Linked DNA regions of Alligator mississippiensis. The protein of the gene in region 3 interacts with the protein of the main gene of each other region in a biochemical or structural test. Links are inferred from orthologs where the notes say so. Each region holds a gene or a part of one and is shown on either strand. Other genes may lie near its edges. The genes, in order: PPM1D, MAPK8, histone H2A and mediator of DNA damage checkpoint protein 1-like.

Region 1 (8,137 bases), on a different chromosome or scaffold from region 3:
CATAGGTTGCTGACCCCTGATCTAAAGTATAATAAGAAAAACTGAAAAATAAAAATGGCTTTGAATGTGATATTTATTCTGAAGGCATCTCTACTTGAGAAGCATATATAGTAATCCACACCAAGGGACTGTGTGTGCTGTAACTCGGCTCTACTGGAAATGGCTCTTAGCCCTCTTGTTGAATTTGAAACCTCACTAGTAGTCTTCTTTTAAGTATCGTTCTAGCCTTATTAGCTGGGAGGACAGTCTCCAAGAAAATGAACTTATACATCATCATGTGTTGAAAACATTTAGCCAACCTGAAACAGCAGCAAAGGTTCCTCATTGTTTTTTATTCATACCGACTGAGCTAAGACTAAAAAAATAATGGCAATTGTGTAACTAATGCTCGTCTGATCACCATAGCAGAAACATCCAAGCGCTGCCATCATTGGACCAAAGCTACTGAAAATCCTGGCAGCCTCCAAGAAATTATACGACAGCTAGTTACTACCCTCTTCCACGCAGAAATCCTTACTTAGCTTGTCCACAAGGATAAAGAAAAACCACATCAGTATGTTCCCATCCCAAATCGTAACTGCCTCTTGTCCATCTTCAGATTGCAAAATGTATAAGCAGAGAGATATAGTTAGCCATGCTGGTCTGAAATCAGACAGAAAGCAGGGTAGATCTGCCACTTACAGACTAGATGTATAAAGAGCTTTTGTGAGCTAGAGCTCACTTCATCAGATGGTGTGAAAGGGCAAACATAAAACATACACCCTTCTTCTACCTTCCATCATGTTGTCAACACACAATTAACAACAGCAGTCTGGGAGGATGCAACATTCAGACTAACCCAACTAATGAGCCCCTCTCTTCAGTATCCAAGTAACAGAAATGACATGACAACATCAGTTTTTAATATTTTATCCAGTTAAAAAAAGGGATTGCACCTGCTGCCAAATCGTGCATGGCTGCACGCAATACAGAAATCAGGGAGGAAACTTTACGGCAGAACTCAGACAGAGTCATCAAGCAGTCAGAGCTCTAGTTTTGCAGTCCTCTAGCAACAGTTTGAGACTTACATAACAAAAGTTGTGTTGCTCCCTACACACCAATACAAATAGTATTTCCAATCAACAGCATGTTTGTTGGCTTTTTATTTTTGCAGTGACAACCAGACATGGTTACCATAGACTAGAAAACCAAACTCATAATCTTTCTTCCCCAAACCCTCTCCCTCCACTTCCTCTAGGTTCATTATGACACTATCACATCACAAAGGCCCCAGGTCTGGGGTGAAGTCACGTCACTCCCCACCATCACATCTGTGAACAAGCTCTCCCACTTTCTCCAGGACACTTCTTAAAAACAAAGCAAAAAACACCCTGCCATCGCCTCCTCTCTAACCCAAGAGCCAGTTTGTCTCCCCTCTAATCCCTGCTCCTACTCTACCAATCTCTCCCTCTAGGCTCTTCCAGGTATTTACTTGACCCCTAAACAGCCTTGATTTGGACTAAGTGTCTTCGCGAAAGATTTCAACTGTTGCTTCAGTCACTGCCTCTCCAAATAACTCTGCTTTCCTTGAATCGTTAACTTTTTATCACTGCCTGCCAGATCCGGCCTTCAGGATTCAAGCCTGCACCTTTGACGCGGTCTCATGGTGGACACTGCTCTGCCTGCTAGTCTTCGTGCCCCAAGCTGTTGTATGGAACCAAATTAAATAAAAAAAGCCACAACCAACATATTTAAGGTATTTTTAAAAGCTCATTTTTTGTAGCCTTACTTCCAGGAAGCGAACAGAGAGGTAGCTAGCAGCGTTGGTCTGAATTTAGGCCTAACACGTTAGTCAATAAGGTGCTCTGATGATGTCGAAGATACGAACAGGAGGGAGGATAACATGCATCCTGGTCCTGTCAAACTCTCCCTTTCAGGATCCTTACTTGGGCCACAATGAATTTAACCAGCCAGCCTCTACAGTCCTCAGGGACTGCACTGTACGTTTCCAGGGGTGCGTGGCCTGTTTCCAGCTGGTCAAAATCATCATCAATCACCATCGTCCAGCATCAGCCTATGTTTTGAATTCTTCCGTCGGCACCGGACGGGCCGAACCGCAGACAGCGGCCAGTGCAGACCCGGATCAGAAAGCAGACCGAGTTATCTGCATCCGGGCAAAGGCGGGGGAGATTTGCACCTTATAAGCTGACAAAGGGCTCTGCTTACAAAACCTCACCCCAAACATCTCTTGTTTCATTATCATGTAGAAATCGACCCAGCATAAAAGCTCCCCCTTCTTTCAATGACGTTTCAGGGGGGGAAGAAACCTGTGCTGCTTCACATAGAGCCCCCCCAACTTGTGTTGTTGACCAGATGAATCCCAGCTCCCCCATGAGACCCCTGCCCTGAATCCGCCCCGAGCCAACACTGGTTGCTCTGATCAAAGGCGTTGTGTCTGGACGCTTGCAGGGGGCAGCCCACCCCGCAGCAGCCAGGAAGGGAGGGATGGAGGGAGGCTGTTTGGGAAGGGAAGGGGCCCCGGAGCAGCGGGGGAGCTGGGCCCGCGGGAGAGGGCTTGGGGAAGGGGAAGGGGAGGCAGACGCGACTCACGCAGCTTCTTCCACATGGCCCGGTGGCAGGCGACGAAGCCCTTGCGCAGGGCCGCGCACACCTCGGCCGGCTCGGCGGAGCAGAAGCCCTTCTGCCGGGTGATGAAGCCCCACAGGTTCTCGCGGGCGAACTGGGCCGCCTCCCGCCCGCCGTGCCCGTCGCACACGGCGAAGAAGGCCGCGGAGCGCCGGGGCCTGGCCTCGCCCGCCGCCGCCGCCGCCTCCTCCTCGGGCTCCGGCTCCGGCTCCACCACGATCTGGGTCACGTCCTCCATGTACTTCCTGCCGCCCTGCTCCGAGAACACGCTCACCGCCAGCGCGAACGGCGCCTCCATGGGGCGCGGGGAAGCCGGGCCGCCGCCGCCGCCGCCGTCCTCCTCCCGCCGGCCGCTCACCATTGTTCGTGCGGGAGGCGCCGCTCGGGCATGTCCGACCGACAGACAGACAGACCCACCAACCGATCGACCGCCCCCCGCCGCGCCGAGCCCAGCCGAGCCCAGCCCAGCCGCTCCGTCACAACCCGCCGGAACCCGCCCGCCTGCCCCGCCCCGCCCCGCCCCGCCTCGCGCCCCGCCCCGCCCCGCAGGCACCCCTTTGTCAACTCGGCTCGCCACCCTTTCGTGCGGCGCTGCGCCCCCGACAACAGCGCCCGGGGCCGGCACCGCTCCCCACTCCCGGCCAGCCCCTCAGCGCCGCTGCCGCTGCCGCGGGGGGCGCCCACCGCTGGTCCACGCCTCCCACCCTCCACACGCTGTCGCGGACGCCTGCGGGAGCGCCCCGCTTGGCTCACCCCCACTGCCCACACCGCAGACACCTGCGGGACCGCCCCGCTCGGCCACCGCCGCCTGCCGGACCTCCCCCCCCCCGGCTCACCACCCACACGGCCACCACCCGCGGGGGCTCCCCACTCGGCTCAGCACCGACACTGCCACCGCCCATGGGGGCTCCCCACTCAGCCCACTGCCAACACTAATGCCTGCCGCAGCTCCCCACTCAGCTCAGCACCAACACCACCGCCTGCCAGAGCTCCCCACTCAGCCACCGCCGACACCGCCACCACCTGCAGGAGCTCCCCACTCGGCCACCGCCGACACCGCCACCACCTGCAGGAGCTCCCCACTCGGCCACCGCCGACACCGCCACCACCTGCAGGAGCTCCCCACTCGGCCACCGCCGACACCGCCACCACCTGCTGGAGCTCCCCACTCAGCCACCGCCGACACCGCCACCACCTGCAGGAGCTCCCCACTCGGCCACCGCCGACACTGCCACCACCTGCAGGAGCTCCCCACTCGGCCACCGCCGACACTGCCACCACCTGCAGGAGCTCCCCACTCGGCCACCGCCGACACCGCCACCACCTGCAGGAGCTCCCCACTCGGCCACCGCCGACACCGCCACCACCTGCAGGAGCTCCCCACTCGGCCACCGCCGACACTGCCACCACCTGCAGGAGCTCCCCACTCGGCCACCGCCGACACTGCCACCACCTGCAGGAGCTCCCCACTTGGCCACCGCCGACACTGCCACCACCTGCAGGAGCTCCCCACTCGGCCACCGCCGACACTGCCACCACCTGCAGGAGCTCCCCACTTGGCCCACCACTGACACCACCACCTGCGGGAGCTCCCCACTCAGCCACCGCCGACACCGCCACCACCTGCAGGAGCTCCCCACTCAGCCACCGCCGACACTGCCACCACCTGCAGGAGCTCCCCACTCAGCCACTGCCGACACTGCCACCACCTGCAGGAGCTCCCCACTTGGCCCACCACTGACACCACCACCTGCGGGAGCTCCCCACTCAGCCCACCACTGACACTACCGCTGCCTGCGGGAACTCCCCACTCAACCCACCACCGACACCGCCGCCTGTGGGAGCTCCCCGCTCGGCTCACCACCAACACTGCCACCACCCACAGGGGCTCCCCGCTCAGCTCACCACCGACACTGCCACCGCCTGCAGGAGCTCCCCACTCAGCCCACTGCTGACATTACCGCCTGCGGGAGATCCCCACTCGTTGCCGCCACTGCTACCACCACCCCGAGCTTGCCATGCCCCCCCAGCCTCCGGAGGCACACAGCGTTCAAGCTTGTGACCCACTTTGGAGTCACAACCCACGGGTTGAATAACACTGGTCTGGAACAGTGGTTCTCAACCTTGTTTGTACCAAGACGCATTTGAAAACATCAATGGCCAGGTCCGACCCAGTGCCCCTCAGTCCCAACCCTCTGCCCCCATAGAGGATGTAAGAATTGTAAATGGTTTGCTGGAAGGATGGCTTGGGAGAGGTCTTGGAGTGTTTGTCTGGGGACCTGCACTCCTCAGTCTTTTCATTAACGACATGCATGAGTGGGGTTTGGAGCGTACTTGTTACATCTGCAGATGACACAAAGCAGGGAGGAGCTGCAAGCACTGTACAGAACAGGGTTAGATTACAAAGTGATTCTGACAAGTTGGAGAACTTATTTTAAATGAAGAGGGTGAAATGCACTAAGGATAAGTGCAAAGTATTAGGCTTCGGTAGAATGATCCACTGGACAAATACAAAAAAGGGAAGGACTGACTAAGCAGCAGAAGAATGATAGTGTGAATCACAAACTGAGTCAGCTACTGCATCTTATATTGCTGGGAGGGAAAGCACAGAGTATCGGGTTGTTCAAGCTGAAGTAAGAGCTTAGAGCGCAGCAGACTAATTCTACTACACGTTAGTGTGGCAGGCAAAATCTGTCCGAATGCGCAGTAGAATTAGTCTACTGCACATTAGCATCACCAAAAAAAGTGTGCGCCACAGCTAATACGCAGTGGCGCTGATTACAGGCATTAAGGTAGTACCTGTAATTACAGGTACTAAACTTAACGTGCCGTAATTATGGTGCATTAATGAATGTGTAGATGCACCACGTGTGTCTTTTCACTTTATTCAACACTGGTAAGAGTCAGCTGGAGTATTGAGTCTTGATACGGGCACCATACTTAAAAAAAAACATGGACTGATTGGAAAGGAGAGAGAAAAATCCTCAGACCTAGGGGGGAAAAACAGAAACTGGGATCCAAAAATTTGGGTTTCTTTAGTTTAAAGACTTAGGAGAGATGTAACGGCAATTTTCAAATATATAAAAGGTCCTGTAAAAAGGAAGGTTATAAACTATTCTCTATACCCACAAGGTAATGGGCTAAAATTTCAACAGGAAAATCTTTCTAACCATAAAGAAAGACAAGCAATGAAATAAATTGCCAAGGGCATTTGTGAAAATGTCCTCAATTAAGGTTTTAAAGACGAGGCTAGACTAATATCTGTCAAGAATGGCATTCATATATTTGATCCTGCCTTGGAATAGGAGAAGGGAGTCGATGACTTTGCAAGGTCCCTTCTGTAAATCTAGAAGATTAAAATATTATTTTGCCATAGAAGATTCAAATATTATTTTGCCACAACTGTTTTAGTGCCACAACTGTTCATGTCCTTTTCAGATGGGAAGCAACATTATTCAAATAGAATTCTAACCACCACTTTTACGTGAGTGACCCATCATTTACCCTTTCCTACATGCATCCTAAACACCTCCCCCTTCAATCTCTGATGCCTTTACCTTTCCTCTTATTTGAAGCCTGACTAATACCCCTTTTCACATCAAGAATTCATTCAAGGGCCTTTGCACTGTAGGTTCCCAAGGATTGCTAGAGCTGTTGGAGCGGGGTTTACACCAATGGTTATAAAATACAGAATAAGATATGTTCCCTGCTGGAAAGAGTTCTTCAACTGTGCTAGATACTTGTATATTTATACCTTGCTATCACTTTGTAGTCCTGTAGCACCTTGATGTGCCAGGCATGCTGTCAATATTGTTGAATTAAAAGAGCTTGCCTGCAAGTAATATTTCCGATATCAGTAAAATGGAGATGACTAATTCCTTGGCAGATGCACCGTACGTAGTTCATAATTCTTGTTTTTAATTCTTTAATAGGATGAAAGCCGCTTGCTATGAAGATAGGCAACGTGTCAATAATATTTGAAACTTCTATAGAATCTGAGCATCTCAAAACACATTACAAAATGTTAACAAAGTAATCTACACGGAATTGGTTAGATGAATTTTCTCCGTATTTTCCAGCTGGGTATATAGACAATGAGCCATTATATTTATGTACAAAAGATCACATGTTAGTGTGATCGGTCCAAGACAGCACCCAGAAGTCCTTCTGCTTTAACTTGCAGAGAATACGTCTTCATGACCACCTCGTATAAAATTGCTTAAAAATCATATCATATTCAAAACAAAACAAGGCAGGCAAAGACTAACCTGGAAAAATTTTCTACTATCTGGAAAACTCAATACATCACTATTTCCTTTTTTTTTTTTTTTTTTTTGGTTAACAGATAAATGCAACCAAACAATTGCAAAGTTGATATTCCTTTATAAGGATAACTAAGTCCATCACTACTGACACTGTGGTGGGGAAATAGATCTTATTATCAGGGTGCAGCCAGAAAACAGTACTCCTGACTTGGAGTGAGTGACAACAAACTGACAGGCTAATAATACCATCAGGGTCTGTTTCACCAGAGGAACAATTAAAGTCTCAAAACACCTGTGAAAAATCAGTAATGAAATACTGCAGTTTCATATGTGGAGTAGGAACAGAGGATGTTATTAAGTAAAAATGATTATTAAGTAGAGATGGTGCTTTCCAAAACGTTTAACAGAAAGGGAGCAAGTCATGGGCAAAGGCACAAACAGAGCCCACCGCTGGTGCGCTTTATATATACTTTTATACTTGTGATAACAGAAATAGGGAAAAGTCAAAGGGTAAAACAATTCCCTGAGGATGAAAAGCCCAAAAGCTTGCAATTAAAGAACTTTTTTTGCAAAAACCTGTTGGTCTAATAAAAGATATCACCTCTACCGCGAGCCCTGATTGCTGAGGATGAAAAGGTGATTGACAAATTCCAAGATGCTTCTTTTTCTCCCTCCTTTTTGACATCAATGTCATTTTGTGCTTCCAATGGAATGCAATGTCTGACAATTCAGAAGGAAGTTACATGCAGCTCAAATGCTCTCTGCCCATTGCTATTAGCTTACAATCAGGGCATTGCACCATAGAAACTAGTATTTAACCAAATTAGAGTGGGTGTGGTTTTGTTGTGTAACTGGACACAGCTAGAACAAATACTTAAAAATATATGGGAGTGGAACTGTTGAAGATTATGCAGCAAACTAAAGAACATCCTTACTTGTCAGTTTACTCTTGCATTTACTCTAGAGATCTACAAAGCTCTGTCCAACTCGGCCAGAAACAGGAAACTACCAAAGACATAATAAGCCAGTATACAAAGGGTGTGGGGATATAAAGAGAGAAAAGGGTCCTGACAGAGATGTTGGTTGGATGAAGCCTTATTGCGTAGCCCTCACAATTCACATGAGGCGCCACCACACCCCCAAACCCCCCATGCTGGATCCACTGTCTGCAGCACATGCTTTGGGATCTGTATTGCACTTGCCCTAGCTGGTCTGGGACCTGTGCTACACACAGTGTCCTGCTCTAA
Region 2 (7,520 bases), on a different chromosome or scaffold from region 3:
AGATGCATGATGAACAGGTCCAGGGAAGTGATGCTTCCCTTCTATGCGGCACTGGTCATGCACAGTTGGAGTACAGTACTGTGCCCAGTTTTGGGCGCGGCATTTTAAGAGGGATGCGGAGAATTTTGAGAGGGTTCAGAGGAGGGCCACTCGTATGGTTATAGGCCTGCAGGCAAGGACCTACGAGGAGAGACTGAGGGACTTAGATCTCTTCAGCCTTCGCAAGAGAAGGTTGAGAGGTGATTGTGTGGCTGCCTATAAATTCATCAGGGGAGGGCAGCAGGGAATAGGAGATGCTCTGTTTACTAGGGCACCCCCTGGAGTCACTAGGAACAATGGCCACAAATTGACAGAGAGCAGATTTGGGTTGGACATTAGAAAGATCTTCACAGTAAGGATTGTCAGAATCTGGAATGGGCTTCCAAGGGAGATGGTGCTCTCCCCTACCTTGGGGGTCTTCAAGAGGAGACTGGACAATCACCTAGCTGGGGTCATCTAAACCCAGCACTCTTTCCTGCCCAGGGCAGGGGGTCAGACTCAATGACCTACTGAGGTCCCTTCCGAACCTAAGATCCATGAATCTATAACTTGATTTTTTATTTGGATTGTTATGTGAGTGTATTTACCCTCCTGTTTACAAATCAATAAAACATGTGTGCGCTCTCTCACATACTTCCTAGGGATAATCACCTGAAAAACCATTAATTACAACTTTGAAACTGCCAAGCTTGCCTAATATGGTATTGGCATCCATTCATTGTTACTAATGAATTTTATGAAATCATGAATTTTTAGAAATGGAAAATGTCCCACAGAAAAATAAAGCACTGGAAAATTTTCCGCCACACATCTCTGTTTCAGAATGAAATATTTTTCCTAGAATATCTAACTCCTTTGCCAAGTGACATACTCCTATGCTCCATTCACAATCCAACCACCACCACAGACACATGCTCCATGCATGCCACTTCACCCTGCTCATTGTTTCCACGTTTAAATTAGGGTGGGCACCAACATAAAAAGTGGTACAATAAAAATAATGCAGGCAATAGGTTCATCAAATTGCTACTTTCTAGTAAAAGTGTTTGACATTATTTAAAGAAAACAAACACACATGGAATGCTGTGTGGTCCTACATCAGGGGCGGGCAATTATTCTGGGCGGAGGGCCGCTTACTGAGTTTTGGCGCCATCATGATAGGCAGCCAGGGGCAGATAAATATTAATTTTCTAAGTTTCTTAGGGGCCCTGCAGGTCAAATAGAAGGGCCTGGTGGGCTGCATCTGGCCCCCGGGCTGCATTTTGCCCACCCCGTCCTACATGCTAGAATAGTGGTTCTTATCCAGAGTGCTGCAAGACCCCCTCAGGGGTGCTGTGATGCAGTCTCTGCTGCCACAGCAGTTGGTAAAACTGCCTTGCATGCCAGGCTGTAATAGAAGCACTCTTCCTGCCTTAGGGCGCTCTGATAACTCTCTTCCCAGTCTACTTCTGCCCCCCATGCTCCTCCTGGAAAGAGACGCATAGGCCAGGTCCATCTCTCCACAGGTCTCTACTTCCAGGAGATGCTGTACCCAATCGGACTGGGAAGAACTGCAGCATGAACCACCTCTATTGTCTGCTTTAGTGTTAATGGAGAACCTGAAAGCAGGAGGAGCATCTGCATGTGCCACAGCCCTTCCCAGTCTGGCTACCCAGCAGCTGCAAAGGGCCCTTTTATTTGGCAGCAGCAGCACCCGGTTAGGAACTGAGGCAAGATGAACACAACAAAGGTTCGCAGCTGGACATGCTGCTATACTCAGTAGCTCTGGAGGGATGCCCTGACTAAAAAGGTCAAGGATTCCTGCCCTAGACCGACAGGAATTTGAAATGTGTCACCTATCTGAATCCCCTTGCAAATAAATCAAAATGGTTGCCTCAAGAAATTAAAATGAATCACTTTCAGCAACACTTTCAGTTCAGTAGCTATTACATACTTTGTAGCATACAGGTACGCAATTTATTTCATCTATATACTTATCCATGAAACAGCCAACAAATTCACTTCGATGGCAACCTTAAGCAGCAGTTTGACCTCCCTCCCTTCAGGCTACCTTTGGAGTCATTTAAAACATATTAGTGAAAGGAGGGTATACCAGCTGATGGATGCAAAACAAACCAAGGCAAAGGCCACTTTCCAAACACCTGCCTCACCATGTCATACTTACTTCACTGTGAAAGTGAAACTATCTTTTGCCCTATTGCTACTAGTAATCTGTATGCCTCTACAAAAAAGCAGGCTGTAGCAAAACACAGATCAGACACTTTTCCCAGGGCAATTAATCGTTTTCCTTTATAAAATAACCTACGGTTGGTTACCCCATGATCAGGCCAAGCTAGAAGATGTTTTTGGGGCAGGCTGGGAAACGTCTGTGCTAGTCTGGTCTGGATGTTCTCTAGGATATAACACTCAAAGTAACCCCGCCCGCGGCCCCCCCGTCAGAGAGAAACGGGGCAAGCGGCGTTCACATTTGAAGCTGGTCCCGGAACCCCCAAAGCAGAACCCCCCCCCGAACCGGTGAAATCAGAGGCCGGAGAGCGGGGAGATGCTCAGGGCAGCCGGCGGCAGGGAAACGCTGCAGCGCGTCACCGAGAGGAAGATGCAAAGCCCCCACACGGCGGCCAAGCTCCGCCGCAGCTCTCAGCGCGCCGGTATCGCGGGGGGGAGGGGGACACGACCGAGAGCTACGGCGCGGCCTGAACTACAGATGTCACCGGCTTCAGGCTGCTGCAGCCGCCGGCCTCGGCGCGCACCGCAGCGGGCACCACAACAAAGGGCCCCGCGCCCGCATCGCTCCCCCGCGCGGGGATGCGCTCGGGATCCGGCTCCGGCGGCCCCGCCCCCACCTCACGGGGGCCGGGGCCGGGGCCGGGGCCGGCTCCGGCCCCTCCCCCCACAGCAAAACATAAACAAAGCGGCCGAGCCGCCGCCCGGGGGTCCCCCCCACCCGCCGCGGCCCACGCCCACCCGCCCGCGCGCCCGCACTCACCTCTCCCACCGCCGCCGCCGACTAACGAGCCGCGCAGGCGCACACGCACGCCCCGCCCCCCTGCGCCGGGCACGCCCCGCCCCCGCGGCCCAGGCCCCGCCCCCCACGCCCCGCGACCGCAGCGCTCACGACGGCCCCGCCCGGCAGGGGCTGGACACGCCTCCGCGACCTGCTGCGGCTCCGGCTCCGGCCCCGGCCCCGGCCCCGGCAGTGGCCCCAGGCCGCCTTTTGTGCGGGGTTGTTCGGTGGGAGCGGCGCTCCCAGGACAGGGAGGCCTGCAACGAAGCAGAGAGAGGCGTGAAATGCGCATTTATAAATCCCTCCCTTCCCCCCGCTCTGGACTTTATGCATCGGGATGTGGCAGCCCGGGGCCTGCCTCAAGGCCTTGCGGGTCATCTGCAGGGACCAGAAGGGCTGTTTTCCCTCTGGAAAGCTGCTGCCCCCTGGAAGAAGGTTTCCCCGGCCTGGAAAGAGCCACACCTAGGGCTGCTCCTGCCCATCTGGGAAGCTCGAGCCCTGCTACAAGGGTTGCTGGCTGCTCAGGGCAGGGTGGCTGTCGGGGTACCTCAAGAACAGAGGACAGCTGCATTTTGTCCCCGCCACCATGAACAGTCATATGCCTCGCACGGCTGGGGGTGCACAGTGGTGACAGTGAGCGGGGAGCTCCCACGGGCAGCCACAACCATGTTGGTGGTGGGGGGGTGCCGAGAGGTGAAAGAATAGAGGACACAAAGGCATCCGGTTTCATATCGAGGACAGAGGACCAGAAAACTGGACCGCCCTCTACAAAACCAGACGAATGGCCACCCTAGCTCAGGGCCATCCCGGTTGCCACATCTGAGTGGGAATGAAGTTTTCCCCTTGGTCAGGCTGAGGAGACCTGTGCAGACTTTGCTCTTCTCTGTAGCATGGGGCTTTGCTCTCCTCTGTTCTCAAGGATTCTCTTCCTGGGATTTGTGTGTGTATGCATTCCCTCATTGCTTTGGCAGGGCAGTAGCAAAGTCCCATCTTCTCTGCTTTTACCAGCTGCGTGCTATGGTGCTCTTGGGACCATAGGCAACACACCGGGGGACACAGGCGGGCGATTGGCTGCGGGTGCCCCCCCGACTCAGGAGGCACCAGTCACCCATGCTTCAGGCTTTAGTCTTGTGCCTTGTAGTTGTGTGTGAGGGTTTAAAGCAAAGATTTGAGAGAATCCTTGGGTAAATGGTTGCTTGCAAATGCAACAGACTGGGCTTGAAAGGCCCCTTCCAGTCCTGTGTTCTTTCAGGGACCAGGGTTTTCTCTCATCACTAGTCAGGGTATAGCTCCTGTTCAGTATGCAGGGGTGGATCCAGGCAGAGGTGCACTGGTACACAGACAACCCCGCACTCCAAATTCCTATTCCACCCAAAGGTTAAAACCAACTGCCTGGCAGTGACAGCAGCATTTTGAGTCAGGAAGTGCTGAGGGACTCACTTGATTTTATGACTCATTATAACCTACCTGATCCCTGCTAAACTCTTCATGCCACAGATATTAATGCCCTTCTCTTCTTTTTAATGGCCTGGATGTTCCATCAATCATCCTCTGTTCTGCAATTCTGCTGTCAACTAGCTGCTCCTGGTAATGAGGCTCATATTTCACAGACCTGCAAATTGTTTTTAACTCATTCCAACAAAATTATATTTGTTTTTGCTTCCATCTTAACCTGAGTAAAACAGCCCTAGGCCCCTAGCATATTAGTAAAGCTTCTAGTTCCTTCTTAAATGGAGAAAAATGTGTGTTGTTTTATATGTAATAATGCACCTCACCATCTGCACCGCCCTTTTCAAAATTCTAGATCCATGTCAGTGTGTATGTCTACTACTCCAGAGCCTGACAAAAGATCAGTATGTTTATCTGCTGCTCTTTTCCCCCTTCCTTACTTTTGTGCTTGTAGGATGGCCAGTTGCAATGTGAATGAGGCATCTGGCGACACTGTATGACCTGCATCCTATGTTTAATTCCTGCCTGTGAAACATTTCAGACAGTTCTTTCTGGACTGAAGCCAGCGGTAGACAGTCCTTACTACAGGTGCTCTTTGGTTTTCCTGTCCAGTTCCTTTTGAAACAAGTATCCTTTTCTGAATTCAGCTTAGACTTTCAATCCACTCCCACTCTGCCTTTCTGTTGAGTTGCATTCAAAGAACAAAATAACATTTTCGGAGGCCTGCCCTAAATAGTATCTGCCAGTGCTTCAGTATTCACCCAAATAATTTTCCTCCGCTTCTAGCCTTCTTTAATTACTTTGACACCTCTGACCTTTGATGCTTTTATTATTTCAGTGCCTGTTATTTGGCATATTGTCACTTAACTGTGATGTCTGGAGTTTTTTTGGAACTAAAGATTTCTAGTTCTTTTGCATCCAATATGTTACCATTGTTAATCTTCAGTGCCTGCTTCCGTACAAAAGTATCAAGGTCTTTAGGTGTCAGTACTTGACTCAGCTAATTTCTTTCTTTGGTCTTCCAACATTCTCTATGCCATTTCATTGATTGCCTTTCTTGTAGGAACATCAGAGCTTAGGATATTGTTTAGCAGCTGCAAGTCATATCAACTGGAAAGAAAGAAGTCTGTGACAAAAACTTTGATTGACAACTTTCTTGGAGATGAGTAGTTACTTCTCTACAAGGCCAGATTTCCTTTTGTTAAATTCAGTAAAGTTATCTCATCATACAAGTTATTGCAGTATCACCAAATGTACCACACATTGGCTATTTGACCCTCTATGACAGGGTCATCAAATGTATCTGTCTGTGTGGGCTAGATTAGCGGAACAGGGCTGGTTCCTGGGCTGGATCAGGCCCACAGACCCCCATCCCCCCTCCCACATGTCTGATCCAGCACGTGTGGCACTCAGAGTGGCCTGCGATGGCAGCCCATGTGACTGCTGCCTGCAGTGCACCCTGCAACCAGCCCCAATGAGTGCTGTGAGTGGTGTAGCCAGGGACCCAGTCCCAGCAAGCACTGCATGTGGCTCAGGGCAAGTCCAGTACAGCATGTAGGTCAACAGGGCAGCACTGGGAGCTGGATTATGGAGCTCTGCAGGTCAGATTCAGCCCAGGGTCCACATATTTAACACCCCTGCTCTGTGCCATCCTAATGAAACTTGAAGTCACCAGTGCCTTTGTTCATGTGATCAGATTGAGATTCCACAGAATAGGCTGATGCCGTTTTTTTAGGACTTTGACTTCTGGTAGCATAATTCCAAACCCTCTGGCTCACCCCCTCAGGTCCACATTTTTCTCTGCTCAAGTGGTGTCTGGGTACCAATATGTGACAGCCTAGCTGGTAGTGATTTGGCCCAGGGGTTTTGAAAGGGTAAGAAATGATTGGAGAGCTTGGGAGTCCCTTTCCTCACCAATCAGGCCCCAGAGACTCCCCCTCCATGTCCCCTGACTGGCCCCTCGGGTCACCTGGGGGGGGATAAAAGGGGCAGTGCAGCTGACTTGGGAAGACTAGTGAGGGACCACAAGGAAGGAGTTTCAAAGAGCTGGCAAGAGCTGGGCCAGCGGGGTGGGAGCAGTTGCCCCAGAAGAACCTGAAGGAGTGGGAGCTGCAGGCAGCAGTTGGACCCTCAGCAGTGCGGCATGCAGCTGGCAAGAAAGGCTCCCTGCTGGGCTCCAGGATCCCCCTACAAGAGGCTGCAGCCAACAGGAGAGGTTCCCCAGCTCCAGCAAGAAGCTGAGCAGTGGCCCGAGAGGTTCCCAGCTCTGCTTCCAGCTCCTCCAGCCAGAGGCAGGGCAGCTTGACATGACACAGGGGCTCCTGAAAGGTCAAAACCCCTAGCAGCTTGGATTAGTTCTAGTACTGGTGACTGTGTGATATGGTTTCTGCCTATCATGTGGAAAATCTGAGTTCGTGTCTCAGCTGGAATGAGTGAAGTGAAAGTGAGATTTTTTGTCACAGTGGAGGGGGTCATTGTGTTTTCCCTCTTCCCCCCCTCCAGATACCTATGCCCTCTGTCTCTTGTTATTTGATGTTTTGTATTTTGTGCATTTTATATTTCACCAACCAGTATTGTTTGTTGTGCTGTTTGTGTTTTATACTTTGTTAAACCTGTCTTTTGTCAACTTGATGAATATGTCTATGAATGTAAATGCCTAACCTTTATTGAATCCCGCCCCCTTGGGGCATTGTAGTGCCCCCTGTACCCCCTGGTTTATACATGTTATGATCCCACTACTGTTTTTCCCATTAAAAAATATATGGTTAAGTACCCATTGGAGATCTGGCTCTGCTCTATAGGGGAAGGAGGGTCCCTATAACTCCCACAGCACTCGTGCACCTGCTCTGATCCCTTCAATTGGAGAGGGGGTACATCTTGGAGTACCGCCCAGGCTACAAATATATGACTGATGATCTTCTCTGGTAACTATTTGATTCTCTTTAAGATGGTTACAAACCCTGAAAGGTCTTTTCAGCTTAATCAGCCTCCCTGTTTTACTGTACAAGAGAACCAGCAGATCATAGAA
Region 3 (6,430 bases):
TGAAAACCATTTGGTAACCTGTTGCCAGATAGAATCAGTCAGTCAGGAACGGGGCACGTTTATGTTGAAGTTCAACATCAGGAAGTTAGCTTCTAAATTAAAAGTCAGTAGAAAGTTTAGACTTGAGAATACACACAAGTTGAACTTTACTAATCTTTCCAGATTTAGTTGCCAGTTCCTTCTATAAAGACCACAGATGGGACTGTACTTTCCACTGGTGAGTCTGCATCTGCTCCAGAACGCACCAGTGCCTTCTAGAAACATTTACATTGCATTGTACAGGAATCCTGCTCTGCAAGTGAAAGTTAATTGTTTACATCTGTGCAATATCCACTGAATGTAACAACCACTGAATAGCCTAAAAAAGTTCTAATTTATGTTCATTTAAGATGCCTTTCCTCAGAAGGAGGGTTGACATTTACACTGTTTCTAGCCAAGTGGTAGGTCCAAATAAACCCTTCACATGATGAATGCTTTCTGTCTGGAAACTGCTTGAGCTATGTGCAAATCAGAAAACAAACTACAAGGACAACTAAAGCATATACAAAATGGGAGTTTAATCAACCAGTAGGGCAAGCCTCTATATACAAAGAACACACTCTGTACTGTTTTCAGGTAACAGAAGAATATAAGAAGAAGCTTGGAATGGTGATAAGTGCTATACAAATTAAGGGAGAAGCTGAATGTGAGGCTTATCCTGGATTCTCTTTAGAGCAGAACAAGTTTGACTTCCTTGCCTAAATCCAATCAATAGAAACAGATAAGCCCAGGAAATCCTGTAAGATGATCCTTATTACACTGAAAACTGCTATATGAGTGGCTTTGTTTTTTTAGCAGGCTGCTTCTTCACTGTACGCTGTTAGAGAAGAGAATATCTGACATCTGCCACGTGCAGAGGTGAAGCCTGGAGTTTGGCTGCAGTCAGTCTAATGGGGGCTGTTCTGCCAATGGAGCCTGTAGCCATACCTAGAATTTGCTCCGGCTGGGGGACGCGGGAACAGTGAGGCTCCTGGGTACCGCATCTTTGTCATAGAGGACAAATGTTGCTCACTGCAGAAATTGAGCTAGGCTTAGAGATGTTTTCCAGCTGGCCACTCAAGACAAAGGCTCCTGGGGGGTGTGAGCTTTCTTCTTGGCAACATGAACAGACAAAGGAAAGCAAGTTGTGGGCGTTTTTCACGGCAGTCGCGGCCCCGACCCCGAGCCGACAGCACCCCGTGGTCCGGGCGCTCAGTGCTGGCCTGTGGCCGCGGGCAGAGCGATTCCTTTCCGCCCTCCCGCCGCCTGGGGCGGTCGCAAGCGGCTGCAGCGCGGCCCCGAAACCTGCTTTGAGCAAAGCTTTTGCGCCAAGCTCCGGCGACGTTACCACGCGTCGCGGCCCCGCCGAACCGCGCGTAACGGGGCAGGTCCCCCCGCGGATCCGCAGCTCTTTCTCCGGCCGGGTGGGTGGCCCTGAAAAGGGCCGTTGTGGGGGGTGAGGAGCGGGAGCGCTAGTACTCCTGCGACTGCTGGGCGCCGCTCTTCTTGCCGGCCTTGGCCGGGCCGCCGCCCGCCTTCTTGGGCAGCAGCACGGCCTGGATGTTGGGCAGCACGCCGCCCTGCGCGATGGTGACGCCGCCCAGCAGCTTGTTGAGCTCCTCGTCGTTGCGCACGGCCAGCTGCAGGTGCCGCGGGATGATGCGCGTCTTCTTGTTGTCGCGCGCCGCGTTGCCCGCCAGCTCCAGGATTTCTGCCGTCAGGTACTCCAGCACGGCCGCCAGGTAGACGGGCGCGCCGGCGCCCACGCGCTCCGCGTAGTGCCCGCGCCGCAGCAGGCGGTGCACGCGGCCCACGGGGAATTGCAGCCCCGCGCGCGACGAGCGCGACTTGGCTTTGGCGCGGGCCTTGCCGCCGCTCTTGCCGCGGCCGGACATGGCGCCTGCGGGCGTCACCGAGCCAGGCTCCGGCGCAGACTGGGTCCAGCTGCGCTGCGCGCTCCCTTGTAGACTCCGCTCCGCCGCCGCTCTCGCCCCATTGGCCGACGCGGCCGCCCGCGCTGCGATTGGCCGCGCAGAATGGGCGCGCTGGCTTATTGGGCACCGTTGAGATCCGGCCGGGCTCTCATTGGCTGCTTCTGTGAGCCAATGGCAAAGCAGGGCGCCAAATTCAAACCGCGAAGAGCGCACGGCCATTTCCGCTTTAGCGGCCGGCGCGGCAAGCCCCTCCTCTCCCCGCCCCGCGGCCGCCTCAGGGTGAGTGTCTGGCGCGGCCCCGCGCGGGGCGGCTCCCCCCGCGAGCCGGCTCGGAGCCCGCGGCGTTGGGGCCTGGTTTGGGTGCACGAAGCGCCGCCCCTGCTCCTTCGGGGCCCGGTGCCTGGCGCTCCCGCCCGCTCGAGCAGGCAGGGCTCCTTGCTGGAGCTGCGCTTCTCCAGCAGGAGGGCCCCCGAGCACCCCGGGTAGTTCTGCCCTCCCCTCCCCTCGGGGAACCGTTTCTCGCCAACGCTGTGCTCGTGCTTTGGGCAGGGCAGCGGACCCTGCCCGGCTCAGGAGCGGTTGATAGCCCGTGTCCTATAGCCCGCATTAGCTCGAGTATCCAGGAGCCTCGGCTGGCCCAGGGCTCAGCGGGCGCACGCTGTGGTGACACTGCCCAGCCCCCGGGAGACGCACGGCTTATGCACAACACGGGAAAGGAGGCCGTGAAAGCTGGGGGAAAAGTCCCCCGAGATTTATTTTCATTTTAAACGGACCGTGGTAGCCTGAGGCTATAATCACTCCTTATAATTCAGTTCAAGTCATAAGGACAGTACAACAGGGATGTTAACACTGGTGTCCTAAATAAAGTCCGATTGAGTGAGTCGGTTCCCGTACAGTTTTATTTCACTTCAGTTGTTCTAATGCTTTGTCATTTGAATGACATTATTTTCCCTGTATAAATAATAACTGTAAAGCACCGTCGTGCTGAAAAAAGTGCAATGTGAAAATGAATTATTTGAACGAAGGGAAAACCATTAGGACCAGGGGGTCTGATGGCTGCTAATGCACAAATAGGCGGAAGGTGTTTTTTGTTTTTATAATTGATGAGACATGTGAAAGTGTGGGTATTTTGGTGCTAGAGGTGCCATGGGTCATAGAGCAATGTAGGTTAGGGAAACTGCATGACCCTTCAGCAGGAAAAAATGTCAGCAACAATGAAAAGTGGGAGAACAGATGCTGCAATAGAAATGACCATTCTCTATAAGAGGGTGTCATAGCAATGTATAATTGATATCGTTTAATTGTGTTTCAACATTTTATCCCTGTGGCAGAGAGGAATGGGAAGCTATTCTGTAGTCAGATTACACGACCTGAATATCTTGTTTCTGAGTTGTAGATAGGCTGAAAAGTGGATTATTCCGTATCTGTGGCAGAAAGATGAAACTGGAGAGGACTGTCCGGTATGTAGAGTTCAGAAGAGATTGCAGGCATTGTTGCAGGTTTATCCTTTGCATATTTCAGGCAAAACAATGTATTTCACAAGATGAAAGGAACTATGGCTGATCCTCCTCTACCTCTACCCCATCATCTTGGCCAGAAGACTCAGATCATACTTATGTCTTTGCACATGCAGGTTAGTCCCACTCATTAGGAGGTCTAGGAAGTAATGATGCTTATATAACTTTAACAGCAGAATCTGTCAAATTCCTGCTGTTTCCAACCAAGGAGGAAACAAACAAACAAAAAAAATTAGATTTGTGTCCCAGAGTCTTTCCTAGCATCTGGAAGGCAGTCCTGAGATGTCCAGGGCCAACACAGGACCATTTCAGCCATCTGGATCAGAACCAGAGAAAATAAGGGACTGATTAAGAGGAGCTGGCACTTCCCTTTCTCCTGACATCTGTCAGACATCGTAGAATAAGCGCACTAGCTGGTATCTGATCAGAAATGCAATTGTGCTTCCCAGAACCTAGAAAGAAGAAAAAAAAATTGCAATGGTGAGTTGACTGCCACTTGGACAGTGCCTAGCCCTCTGGAAAGCATTTGGGACTTAAGCACGTGGTCTGCCTAAGCGAGACAACTTAATTAGAAATGGTGCTATTTGTATGTGTGTGGAGGGGGGCATGATGGGTGATGAGAGTTCCTTGCAGTGCTCTTTAGAGAGGATCTTTGTAATGGAGTCACAGAGGGGAGAGGATAGCCTGTGTGCATACATACAGAGTTGGAATAGGCAACAGAGATGCTTGTCAGGTCTTTACCATTTCATGCAGAGGTGGGGAGCAACCCAGGAAGTAGAGGAATGGAAAGGGAGACATGAGACATAAGACAAAGCTAGGGGGAATTCAAATGTCCCTTAAACCAGAATATTCTGCTTTGAATGTGCTATCTATTAGAATAGGGCAGTCCAACTTCTGGACCCTGGGGGCACCACAGATCCCTATGGGCTGCATGCAGCATGGGCAGCTCAGCTCCTCTCCCTCCAGCCGCACAGGCAGCCCAGGCCATTCTACACAGCTCTCTCTGCCCAGCCCCCGGGAGTGAAGGCAAGACACAAGCTGGAGGGGAAAGAGGGAGAGCTCAGAGATCCTGACCATAGCAGCAGGAGTGATTTGGGGGGTTGGGAGAGGATGGGGGACAGCAGGGGGAAGAGAAGCCTGCATGCAACCTGTGGGACATCAGTTGGACAGCCCTGTATTAGGGAGCAGGCTTTTCTATCCAAAAGACCATTTGCCTGACCTGGATGAGTAGCAGCAGGATGGTGAGTGTTTGCTCTGGGGTTGGTCCAATGAGCTTTATAACAAAGTTAATGATAGTCATGTTGTTGCATTCTGTGTATTCTCCATCTTCATCCACTCCCCGTCTTACATCTACAATGCGCAAGCTCTCTGATACCTGGGAAAGAAATTTAACCACCACTTAACTGGATGAAATAGATATTTGCTAGTTAGGGTCTGGTAGGGATGTGATAAAAATTTCTTCCATACATCCTAGTCAGTGATCTCTTCTACTGTTCCAGTCCTGGGGTTTGATTCAAGGGAACAGATCTAGGGACAGGTTTAAATCAGGCCTTATGCAGCTAAGCTTCATTTTGGAGGGATTCTAATAAATGTGAGCATCAAGCATTGGGGTCAGACTACAAGAGGCCTGTTTTGGTTTGGTTTTTTTTACTAAAGTTCTATGTTGTTCGGAGGAAATGACTCAGGCTAAACAAAGGTATTATCCTTCTTCAGATCACAGCGGCTGACTGACCTTCAGAATGCATGCTCCCAGGGTTGAGAGACTCTTGGTTTTAAATTTGAAGTAGCTCATTTCCAGTTTCCCTGTAGCAGGATTTAACCTGAAAGGAACAGCAAAATGCACTTCAATCATACCAAAAGAGACAACTGAATCCCTGCATAAAGCAGAGATAGGAGTGGTCTAAAAGGAGGTGGTGCCGAAAGTGGGAGTAATTCTATGAATGTGACAGTCCTGACAGTGCAGCAGCCCGAGCCCATCACATGGGGCAGAAATGGGAGAAACCTTTTTGTTACTACTTTACAGAAGCTTGTATGGATCAAAAAGCAAGGTAGAACATGCATGGTGTAGGTAGGGACTATCTATGCTGCAAAAACTGCCAGAAGACTGCATTAGAACAGCCTCTCAGCTAAGCAGCCACAGTTCAACCTCACCCATGTGGTTGGGAAAATAAAAATGTGAACTAGTTAGCAACTCGAGTTACAGCTCCAGCTTTGCAGGACTGTAAAATTATTTCTTAATGAGGCTAGAAAGAAACCCACATGCCATGACTCAACCGTATTAGGCGAGAGCTGTATTTAATTCAACTTGATAGGTAACCTAAGCTTTTTGATGGTATAAAATTGGAGTACAGTTCTGCTAGCGTTCATCAGGGCACTAGTTTGTACCCTCTGAGAATCAGGTAGCTATACATTGAGCAATTTGGGCTTTTATGCTAGGCATTCAGCTGGAGAGTTGTTTGCCAGACTGCTTTGACAGGGCAGCAACTTGTTCCTTGACATTCAACTTTTTGCCATACAAAAAGGTGTTTTCATTTTTTCAAAATTAAAGTGTGAACGTTGCAGAAAACAGCAACCATAAAATCACAAGATTTATTCAATTTATGGCTATGCTGTTCCCGACCACAAGGAAAGGTAGTAATTACCAAATAAAATTCTCCACAGCTCTGGTATCTTTCTCAATCCTAGTTGGTGAATAAGGGCTACATCTCCATTTTCACTCCCTCCCCCAACCACAGACTACATTATGTCCATTAATACCCTCCAAAGATTCCACCGAGACTATTCCACCTGCGTCAGCCCTAGCACCAAGCCAGAACCAAACTGCCTCACAGGTACTGTCACATTACTTCTTACTCTCAGTCACTTACATGCTTCTTACCTGGGCAGCCGATGTCGGGGGCAAGGAATGATGTGAAACAGCTGAGGTAGTGAATACAGGAAGTTGAGCACTTGTGGGAGGAA
Region 4 (8,011 bases), on a different chromosome or scaffold from region 3:
CAGTGACAGTGTAGGGCTGGGGCCTGGGGCACAGCCATCATCCGCTCCCTGCCCCCACCGTTATAAGGCCAAAAAAACCTGCAGTCCCCTCCCTGGCTCCAACTAGGGCCCCCCCAAACCAGCCTTAACCTCAGCCCTGGTTCCCAAGTTATTATAGGGCCTAGCTGTGACGGAGCACAGGGTGTGCCTGTCACCCACAGGGGTTTGAGCAAACAGCCCGCAGGTGGGAGTAGGCCCAAGCAGGTGGTCACATGTCAGACAGAAGGCTGCCTGATTGGTGGAGAGCCTGGGTATAAGGCAAGGCCCCAGAGCAATACAAGCAATTGCTGCAGGGGCTGAAGGAGCAATGTCACCCAGCCAGCTTCTGTTCCTGGAACAGCTTGGAGGTACAGAGCAGGGACTAGGGATGGAGGAGGTTCCTAGAGCTTAAAACTATGCCCTGCTGAGGAGGATGGTGCAGTGGGGCAACTTCTAAGAATTGCCACACTTGTGCCTCCCCAGTGAAGCGCGAGTATGAGGTGCCAGAAAGCCTCAGCCCCTGCTGCCGTGTGGGTGACCCTGTGGAGGGAAAAGGCTAGGGGAGCACACCCCAACAGAAATGTGCAGGGCCAAGGCCCACTGTGTGGAGCCTGAGGTGGGGTCCAGGCCATGAGAAGGGGGCCTGGATGCAGCCTAGGTACACTAAGTGAGGCCTGAGGCTCACTAAGGAGCCGGGTGTTGAGGCTCCGGGGGCCCAGGGAGTGAGGGCTGCAAGGTGGAGGCCCAGGGATTTCTAGACCGGGTGACGCCAGGTGGTACAGCTCAGCAAGGGAGTCAGGAGCATTTGTGAATGTCAGCTACGAGGCATGGGATACAAGGGAAGGCTCAAAGCTGTGTATGCGCCCTTGGCAATGAAATGGGTAGCCTCCCACCTGGGAAAAACAAAGACATCAAAAGTGCGGCAGGGGAGGCAGGTGGGTGGACTGCCCAGGACAAGTGAGCGGGCCAATGTTTACACGCCCTGGACTGGCCCACTTATTACACTGCCACAACGCCAGCCCTAGCCCCTTTGTTATGATAGGACCTTCAAGAAGTACCAGCCTCAGCCCCGCCCACAGCCATCGTCTTATTGTAGGGCCTACAACCATCTCCCTTCCTCCCCCCCCACACACACACCAGGGAGCTCCCTGTTGTTACAGGCCCTACCAAAGCCTCCAAAGCCCCCTTGTTGTTATAGGTCCTACCAGAATGCACCCAGCTCCTTGTATAGGCCCTACCAACCCACCCACCCAGCCCTTGTTGTTATGGACTCCACCACCACCCCTGCCAGCCCTCCTCCTACAGGCCCTACTAAAATCCCCCCCCATCCCTCATGTTATAATGGACTCTATCAAACCTCCCCACAGCTCCCTTGTTGTTTATAGGGCCTACAGTAACCCCCACCACCATCCACTTTGTTACTGTAGACCCTAGAAAAACCTGCCACTCACCTCCACGCCATCTTTTTTTCTTCACCTCTGACTCCTGAGCCAACTGGGCCCCAGCACCCATCCTACGCCTGCATGGGGTTGGTGTCTCCTCCACGGTCAGACAGTGCAGGGGGGAGGCTGCAGATTCCCCAGGGGGCAGCAGGAAGTACTGGCAGCCCACGTCGCCAAACAGCAGGGTGTCGCCATGGGCCAGAGCGTAGCGGACGTGGGGCTGGAGCACGGCACGGCCGCGCCGCGTGCGATTGAGACTGCCACGGTCCCAGAGCAGGTGTGGGTATCCAGGCCCAGGCCTTGGTGCTTCAATCACTGCATGCAGCTTGGACACGGAGGGCACCGGCAGGTGCACGGGGCAGCTGGGGAGACGTCCGACCACGTTCTCACCAGGGTAGATCCAGATGTCTGCGAGTGAAGGGAAAGCCCAGGTGTCTGGGAAGGGTCCAGACTCCCACCCCTGCCAGTGCATACACACATGCACGTGTATGCACACTCAACCCAAGCATCTGGGATGCTCACTTGCACAGATGGACACTCCCGCAGCCCTCACAACACAGACTCTTTTCCAGAGAACCTAAGTGTCCGGGTTGCCAAACCCCTTGGTCTAGCTGACCAGGCCCCAACTCTCCTCCCAGTGCTGGGAGAGGACCCAGGCTCCCAACCCCCTTCTACTGCCCAACCACACATACGTGTGCATGCGTGTGCACCACTCCTCTCCCATAAAACGCAGGCATCTCAGCTCCCAGCCCCTCCCTGGTCTAATCCACCTGCCCCCGCTCCTCTCCCAGAGGATCCAGCCCCCCTCCTCTCCCCTCCCAGGGAACCCAGCCGTTCGGCAGGCTCTCCCCTGGGGACATGAGCCCCACATCTGGCCCCAGCTGGAATGGGCTTGAACCCCAGGAAATAATGCCTTTGTCATGAATCACCCTGGACACCAGCTTCCTCAGGCAGTGGGGTTACCCCCAGGTGCCGGGTTCCTCGTATAGCGGGGTCCCCACCCCTGGCACCAGTCCAAAACCGTGTCCAGTTGTGGCCCCCCACTCCAGCAAGGATGTGGACAAGCTGGAGAGAGTCCAGCGGAGGCCGATGAAAACGGCTGGGAGGCTGGGGCGCACAGCCTGCGAGGAGAGGCGGAGGGAACTGGGCTCATTGAGTCTAGAGGAGAAAAGACCAAGGGGGGGGATTTGACAGCAGCCCTCAACTCCCTGCAGGGGGGCTGCAAGGAGGGTGGAGCCGGCTGGTGCTCAGTGGGGGCAGACGACAGGACAAGGAGCGAGGGGCTCCAGGTGCAGCAAGGGGTCCTGGGGACGAGGCGGTGGAGTCTCCATCCCTGGAGATGTTTAAGACCCGGCTGAGACGGTCTAGTTGGGGCTGGTCCTGCTGGGAGCAGGGGCTGGGCTGGACTGGACTGGACTGGGCGTCCCTTCCCGCCCCCGCACGCCTGCGCCCAACGGACATCGGGGCTCCTACCTCTCTCCGGGCCGTGGCGGCCCCCCAGCACCCGCAGCCTCCCCACGGGGCGCCCGGGGTCCGCGGGGGCCTCGTCCTCCTGCTCCTCCTCCCACTGCAGCAGCTGCGTCTGCTCCATGGCCCGGGCCGTGCCGTGCCCTGAGCCCCCGCCACCTCGCCCCGCCCCTGACCTTTGACCCAATCCCTAGTTCGGGGGCGTGGCCCTCGATCCCCCCCCGTTCCCGCCCCCTGGTGGGAGCCGGGACTCGCCGCCCACCCCTGCCAGGGCCCCGCGCCCGGGCGCTGGAGCCACGGAGCCCGGACGTGGCTGCCTAGAGAGGCTCCATGGGACCATAGAGAGGCGGGCTGCGATGAGCTAGAGTGCCTAGCTCTCTGCGGTCCTCCACAACATGGAGGCCAGTGTGCAGCATAGAGTGCGGAGATAGCGGGCTAGAATGTCCACACGGGGTCCTCCCCAACATGGCGCCCTAGCACTCCTACCACACCAGTGACCATAAAGATACCTCATGCAGCACGCCCAGGGACATTAAGCACAAGGGTGGGCGGGTAGAGTGACTGCCTTCGCCTGCCACAAAATGGCCGCCGCCTGGCCATAGAGAGGGAAAGCTAGAATATACACATTTGGTCCTCCAGAGTGTCTTTTTCCTCATTATCCCCACATTCATTAATGAGAATGACCTCACTTTGCACCATTTTTAGCCACTGAGGAAGCCTGGGCCTCTGAGCAGCACCTGGGCCGAGCCCGACCCCACTGGAGCTGCCCCAGAGGCCCTGTTACTGTGAAGGGGCATCTGGCATTGCCAGGCAACAGTCTGGTTACTAGGGCTGCCCTGGGTACCATGAAGGGGCATCTCAGGGACATCTGGTGTTGCCAAGCAACAGGCTGCTAACTAGGGCTGCCCTGTGTATCCTGTGTTGTGTCCCAGTGTTGCTAGGAGACACGAGGGTCATTCCAGTGTTGCTAGGCAGCCTACTGGCCAGGGGCTGCCCCCAACCATCCAGGCCTGGGGCCACGGCTGCTTCCAGCTCACCTACCAGCCCCCCATGCTCACCAGGGGACACCCCCCCACCCCCCCAGAGAACCCAGGTGTCAATCGCAGGGCGGGCAGGGCCAAGAGCCGGGGGGTTGGGAGCCCGGACACCTGGGCCCTTTGTGGGCTGGGGGAGTTGTGGGGCAGGCGGAGCTGAGAGCATGGACTCGGGGTCCTCAGCAGGGGAAGAGGGAGCTAAGGGGGTGCGGGGTAACAGCCCAGAGGGATGCCTGGGATCTCTGGGCGGGGGTGGGGGCTGGGGAACGAGAGCAGGGGGAAGCTGGGAGCCCGGTAGGGTGGCCAACATAGAGGACAGTCCGGGTGTCCTCTATTGATACACAACCGGACGCCTTCTTATCCTATATTTTTGTCTTGAAGAAAACCAGAATGTCCTCTATGATGGCCCCGAGAGCTGGGACACTTGGGTGTCTCCCTCCCCCCCTCCCTCAAGGGTGGCTCTGGCCCTACCTCTGCCTCACCCGGGGCTTCTCTCCCTTTCCAGATGAGCCGGAGGGAGCCCTTCTGCCCACGTGTCTGGGACGCAGGCATCCAGTACCCAGGTATTCGGGACAGACGGAAGGAAACGCAGAAGCCCGCGGTTCAGGGTACCCAGGTAGGCGCCTACTCAGAACCCAGGTGTCCGGGAGAACAGCCCCCCCTCCCCCCGCACAGATCCTGTGTCCAACACTGCCCCCTTCCAGGTGCCCAGGACCCAGATGTCCAGGCCACCAGCCCCCCACTGCTCCCTTCCCCCTGAGAAACCAGGTGTCTGGGATTTCACCGCCCCCTGCTCCCACCTACCCCTCACAGAGAACCCAAGCATCTGGACCCTCCCAGAGAGCCCAGGTGTCCAGGGCCCGTGGGTGCACACTCCCTCCCTGGAACCTGTGTCTGGGGCCCACCCAAGTGTCTGCCATGCACTCCCAAATGGCTTTTGATACCGTCCCCCTCCCTCCAAGGTATCCAGGGCCTGCACACAGAGGACCCAAGTATCCAGTACACACAGACAGACAGATTCAGGGAGCCCAGATGTCCAATGTGGGCAAGTAACCATGCAGACTTCTCAAATGCAAGACCCATACAGAGAACCCATGTTTCCAGGATTCCCACCCCCAGTGGACTGAGGCCACAACAGAACCTACTTTAAAAAAATTTCCTGTTTTTATGCTTTCACAAGATGCCATCTTTTCAATATGAGAAAAGCTGTTAGGGGAAAAAAATAAAACAGAGCAGAGCAGACAGAAGGAGAAAGAAAGACAGGATGGGCATGGAGGCTGTCAGCTTTGTGCTAGTGCCAGGGGTGGGGGAACCCACAGGGTGTGGTCACGGCACCATGGCCACTGCTTCCCTGGCTTCCCCAATCTCTTCCTCCAGGGCCAAGCTGGTCTGTTGAGTTCATCAGGGCTGAGAAGTTGCCTGGAACAGGGCTGTCTGGAGCCTGGAAGCTGGGTTGTGGGATGGCAGGGCCTGGCCCAACTCTTCCACGGTGCCACTAGACACTGGTGGCATTTCCTAGGCTTCCCCCTGTAACCAGATCACAGCCTTTTCCTTTCCCCCCCTGGACCTTCCATTGGGGGTGAACAAGGGAAGAAGACCCCAGCCCCACTCTACCCCCTCTCCTCAAAGTTGTTGGCCAGAGAAGAAGTCTTTGGAGACCCTCAATACCCCATGGCTCTTCTCTTTCTCTCCAAGGAAACAGAGCTGACTGGGTTGGCCTAGGAGCACCCGTCTTTTTTTGCTTGGTTTGCTCTCAGTAGCCTGAAGATGGTCTTTGTCTTCTCCCCTGGGTACATTTTTCACTGTAGGGCAAGGTTTGGGGGACTAAAAGCCAACTCAAAACGCAAGGGGAGGCACCTGCATGGTAGAGCAAGGTGCTGGACCCCACAAAATAAATAGATACAGACTCCCCAGGGAAGCTACTACCCCAGCAGAAGCCACTCTGGTTACATGGGCACCAAGGAATTGGGCTCTCCAAGGAGAAAGAGGGAAGATAGGCCCTCTGACAGCTTCATCATCATCTCCATTTTGGGTGGGGAAAGAGCAGTTCATTCCCTAGGTCAGGCAACAAGGAATTCTTCCAAGACTTTGAGTGCTTTCCAAGGTACCCTTGCCAACCAGCTGGGCAGACCTGAAGGAAACCTCTCCAGAAGAAGCCAACTGAGAAGTAACTCATCAGTACCATCCACCTTAACATGGAGGTGGGTCTTCAAAGGTGGGGAGACTTTCTCTAGTCCTGCCAGGACTGTTTCAACCCTTCCACTGTGGTTCATTTGAGTCTCGTCAGGGCAGTGCCTGTGAAGGAAGAAAATGGAGTCCACACATCCCCATGCCCTTCTCCCAGCCTACTTTTCTCACACCCAGAAGACCTTTTGTTTCTCCAGCTTGGGGCCCTTCCTTGAAAAGCCTCCCCACCCCCTCTAGCTAGAACCAATATTTGGCCTTGAAGAAGAGTTCCCCAATGGAGAACCAACATTGGGACATTTAGGAACTTCCTCAGATAAAACTGTACTCAACTCTCCATTTCTCCAAACGAAAGAAGAGAAGATCACCACTCTAGGCACCAGGCACACAACTCTACTTTTTCTAGTTTTTAACGTACTCAACCTTTTTTCATCTTGGTGCCTGCCCTGGGCCCAAGGCAGTCCGGGGCTGGTGTGGGGCTAGGGGTGGCTGTTTATCAGGGGCCACCGGTGCTGGGCAATGACCCCGGGCATGGGGGAAGGGGCAGCTGCACGGGCGCAATGGGCCCCAAGCCCAGGCCCAGCTCTGCTCTGTCCCAATGCCTGCCTGGTCCCAGCCCCAGCCCCAGCCACCCCATCCACATGCTTTCCCCTCCCCCCACAGACTTTCCCGTGGGCACATGCAGCTCCCCCCACAAAATTCTTTTTCTCCCTTTGTGTGTACATGCGTGTCTGTGTCCAGCCAATCTCACTGACAGTGGGTTGTCCCACCAACCGATCACTGTGGCCCCTTCCATAACTGGCTGTGGCCACTTCTGGGAGCACCACCACAGCACTCCCCACCCCAGCTGGCGCTTACAGCGGGGGCACCAACGCTCCTGTCTGCCCCCCCTGCCCATCGCCTAAGTGGCAAGCATGGATGGTCAGGGGGTGCACTTTTGCTCTCAGGGAGTGCATGTGCACCCCCATGCACTCCCTAGGAGTCACCACTATGTGCATGCATGCACGTGCATACCTGTGTGTGCGTGCGTCTATTCATGGCAGGAGATAGCGTGTTTGTTTCTGTGTGTCAATGTGCAGAGAGTAAGTGACAGTAGTATGCGCCTCTGTGTGTGTGTGTGTGTGTGTGTGTGTGCGCGCGCGCGTGTGCATGTTTCGCCATAGTGGAACAGGGGAGCAGGGAGAAGAGGGGAGCATGTACCCCCCCACCCCCAGCCCTCCCTGCCAGCACCAGGAGGGGAAGGGACGATGCTTCGCCCTCACCTGACCTCCACCCTGTCATTCTTGGTGAGCAATTGGCTAGTATACCAATAACAGCCGAGAGGCATTGGGCGTGGTAAAAGGACAATTCGGAGCCACGCAATTAACCCATAAGGCTTTAAGTGCCCTGCCAGGCACAGTTGATTGCAGGGGCCTAGCCAAGGGCCTGAGAATATAAAGGCCCAGCCACAGGTTTGAGGCCAGTACGACCGGGGGCGTGCAATGGTCCATGGCCAGCCTCCCTTTATATTTATTTATAATCCGTAAAGGTGTGGCAGGAAAGATAGGGGGCATGCCCTAGAAGTCAAACAGGGCATGGTCACAGAGCCACCAGGGGGCATCACAGCCACCCCTGGTTCCCTGACCTGCTACACTATAATAGGGCTGGGGGGGACGGGGGTAGAGTCTGTAATAACAAGGAGCTGGGCTGGAGGTTTGGTGGGGCCTATATAAGCAGCTGGGTGAATTCTGATAGGACCTATAACAACAAGGGGGCTTAGGCAGCTTTGGAAGGGCCTGTAACCAGGGGGCTGTGTGCTGGCAGGGGGAGGTTAGGGCCTATCAGAACAAGGAGGTTCAGGGGCAGGGCTGAGTAGGCTCTACAAAA

What was found.
Region 1: of the proteins of histone H2A (region 3) and PPM1D, one has a biochemical effect on the other in vitro, tested with the Homo sapiens proteins (3 studies listed by BioGRID and IntAct). The link is inferred for Alligator mississippiensis from reciprocal best matches to the Homo sapiens genes H2AX and PPM1D.
Region 2: the proteins of histone H2A (region 3) and MAPK8 form a complex in vitro, tested with the Homo sapiens proteins (2 studies listed by BioGRID, with this or other methods). The link is inferred for Alligator mississippiensis from reciprocal best matches to the Homo sapiens genes H2AX and MAPK8.
Region 4: the proteins of histone H2A (region 3) and mediator of DNA damage checkpoint protein 1-like form a complex in vitro, tested with the Homo sapiens proteins (5 studies listed by BioGRID and IntAct, with this or other methods). The link is inferred for Alligator mississippiensis from reciprocal best matches to the Homo sapiens genes H2AX and MDC1.

The regions. Positions count from the first base shown.
Region 1 is NC_081837.1:4,651,912-4,660,048, forward strand, and holds the start of PPM1D (protein phosphatase 1D), read right to left. Parts: upstream 3,094-8,137; 5' UTR 2,987-3,093; coding exon 2,590-2,986; intron 1-2,589. UniProt on the Homo sapiens protein: Involved in the negative regulation of p53 expression. Required for the relief of p53-dependent checkpoint mediated cell cycle arrest.
Region 2 is NC_081829.1:21,154,778-21,162,297, reverse strand, and holds the start of MAPK8 (mitogen-activated protein kinase 8), read right to left. Parts: upstream 3,083-7,520; 5' UTR 3,026-3,082; intron 1-3,025. UniProt on the Homo sapiens protein: Serine/threonine-protein kinase involved in various processes such as cell proliferation, differentiation, migration, transformation and programmed cell death.
Region 3 is NC_081839.1:35,289,181-35,295,610, forward strand, and holds histone H2A, read right to left. Parts: upstream 1,973-6,430; 5' UTR 1,914-1,972; coding exon 1,491-1,913; 3' UTR 538-1,490; downstream 1-537. Other genes in the region: DPAGT1 (UDP-N-acetylglucosamine--dolichyl-phosphate N-acetylglucosaminephosphotransferase), read right to left, coding at 3,856-3,921, 4,689-4,844, 5,202-5,289, 6,348-6,430. UniProt on the Homo sapiens protein: Variant histone H2A which replaces conventional H2A in a subset of nucleosomes. Nucleosomes wrap and compact DNA into chromatin, limiting DNA accessibility to the cellular machineries which require DNA as a template.
Region 4 is NC_081834.1:57,359,231-57,367,241, forward strand, and holds the start of mediator of DNA damage checkpoint protein 1-like, read right to left. Parts: upstream 3,136-8,011; 5' UTR 3,052-3,135; coding exon 2,934-3,051; intron 1,869-2,933; coding exon 1,470-1,868; intron 1-1,469. UniProt on the Homo sapiens protein: Histone reader protein required for checkpoint-mediated cell cycle arrest in response to DNA damage within both the S phase and G2/M phases of the cell cycle.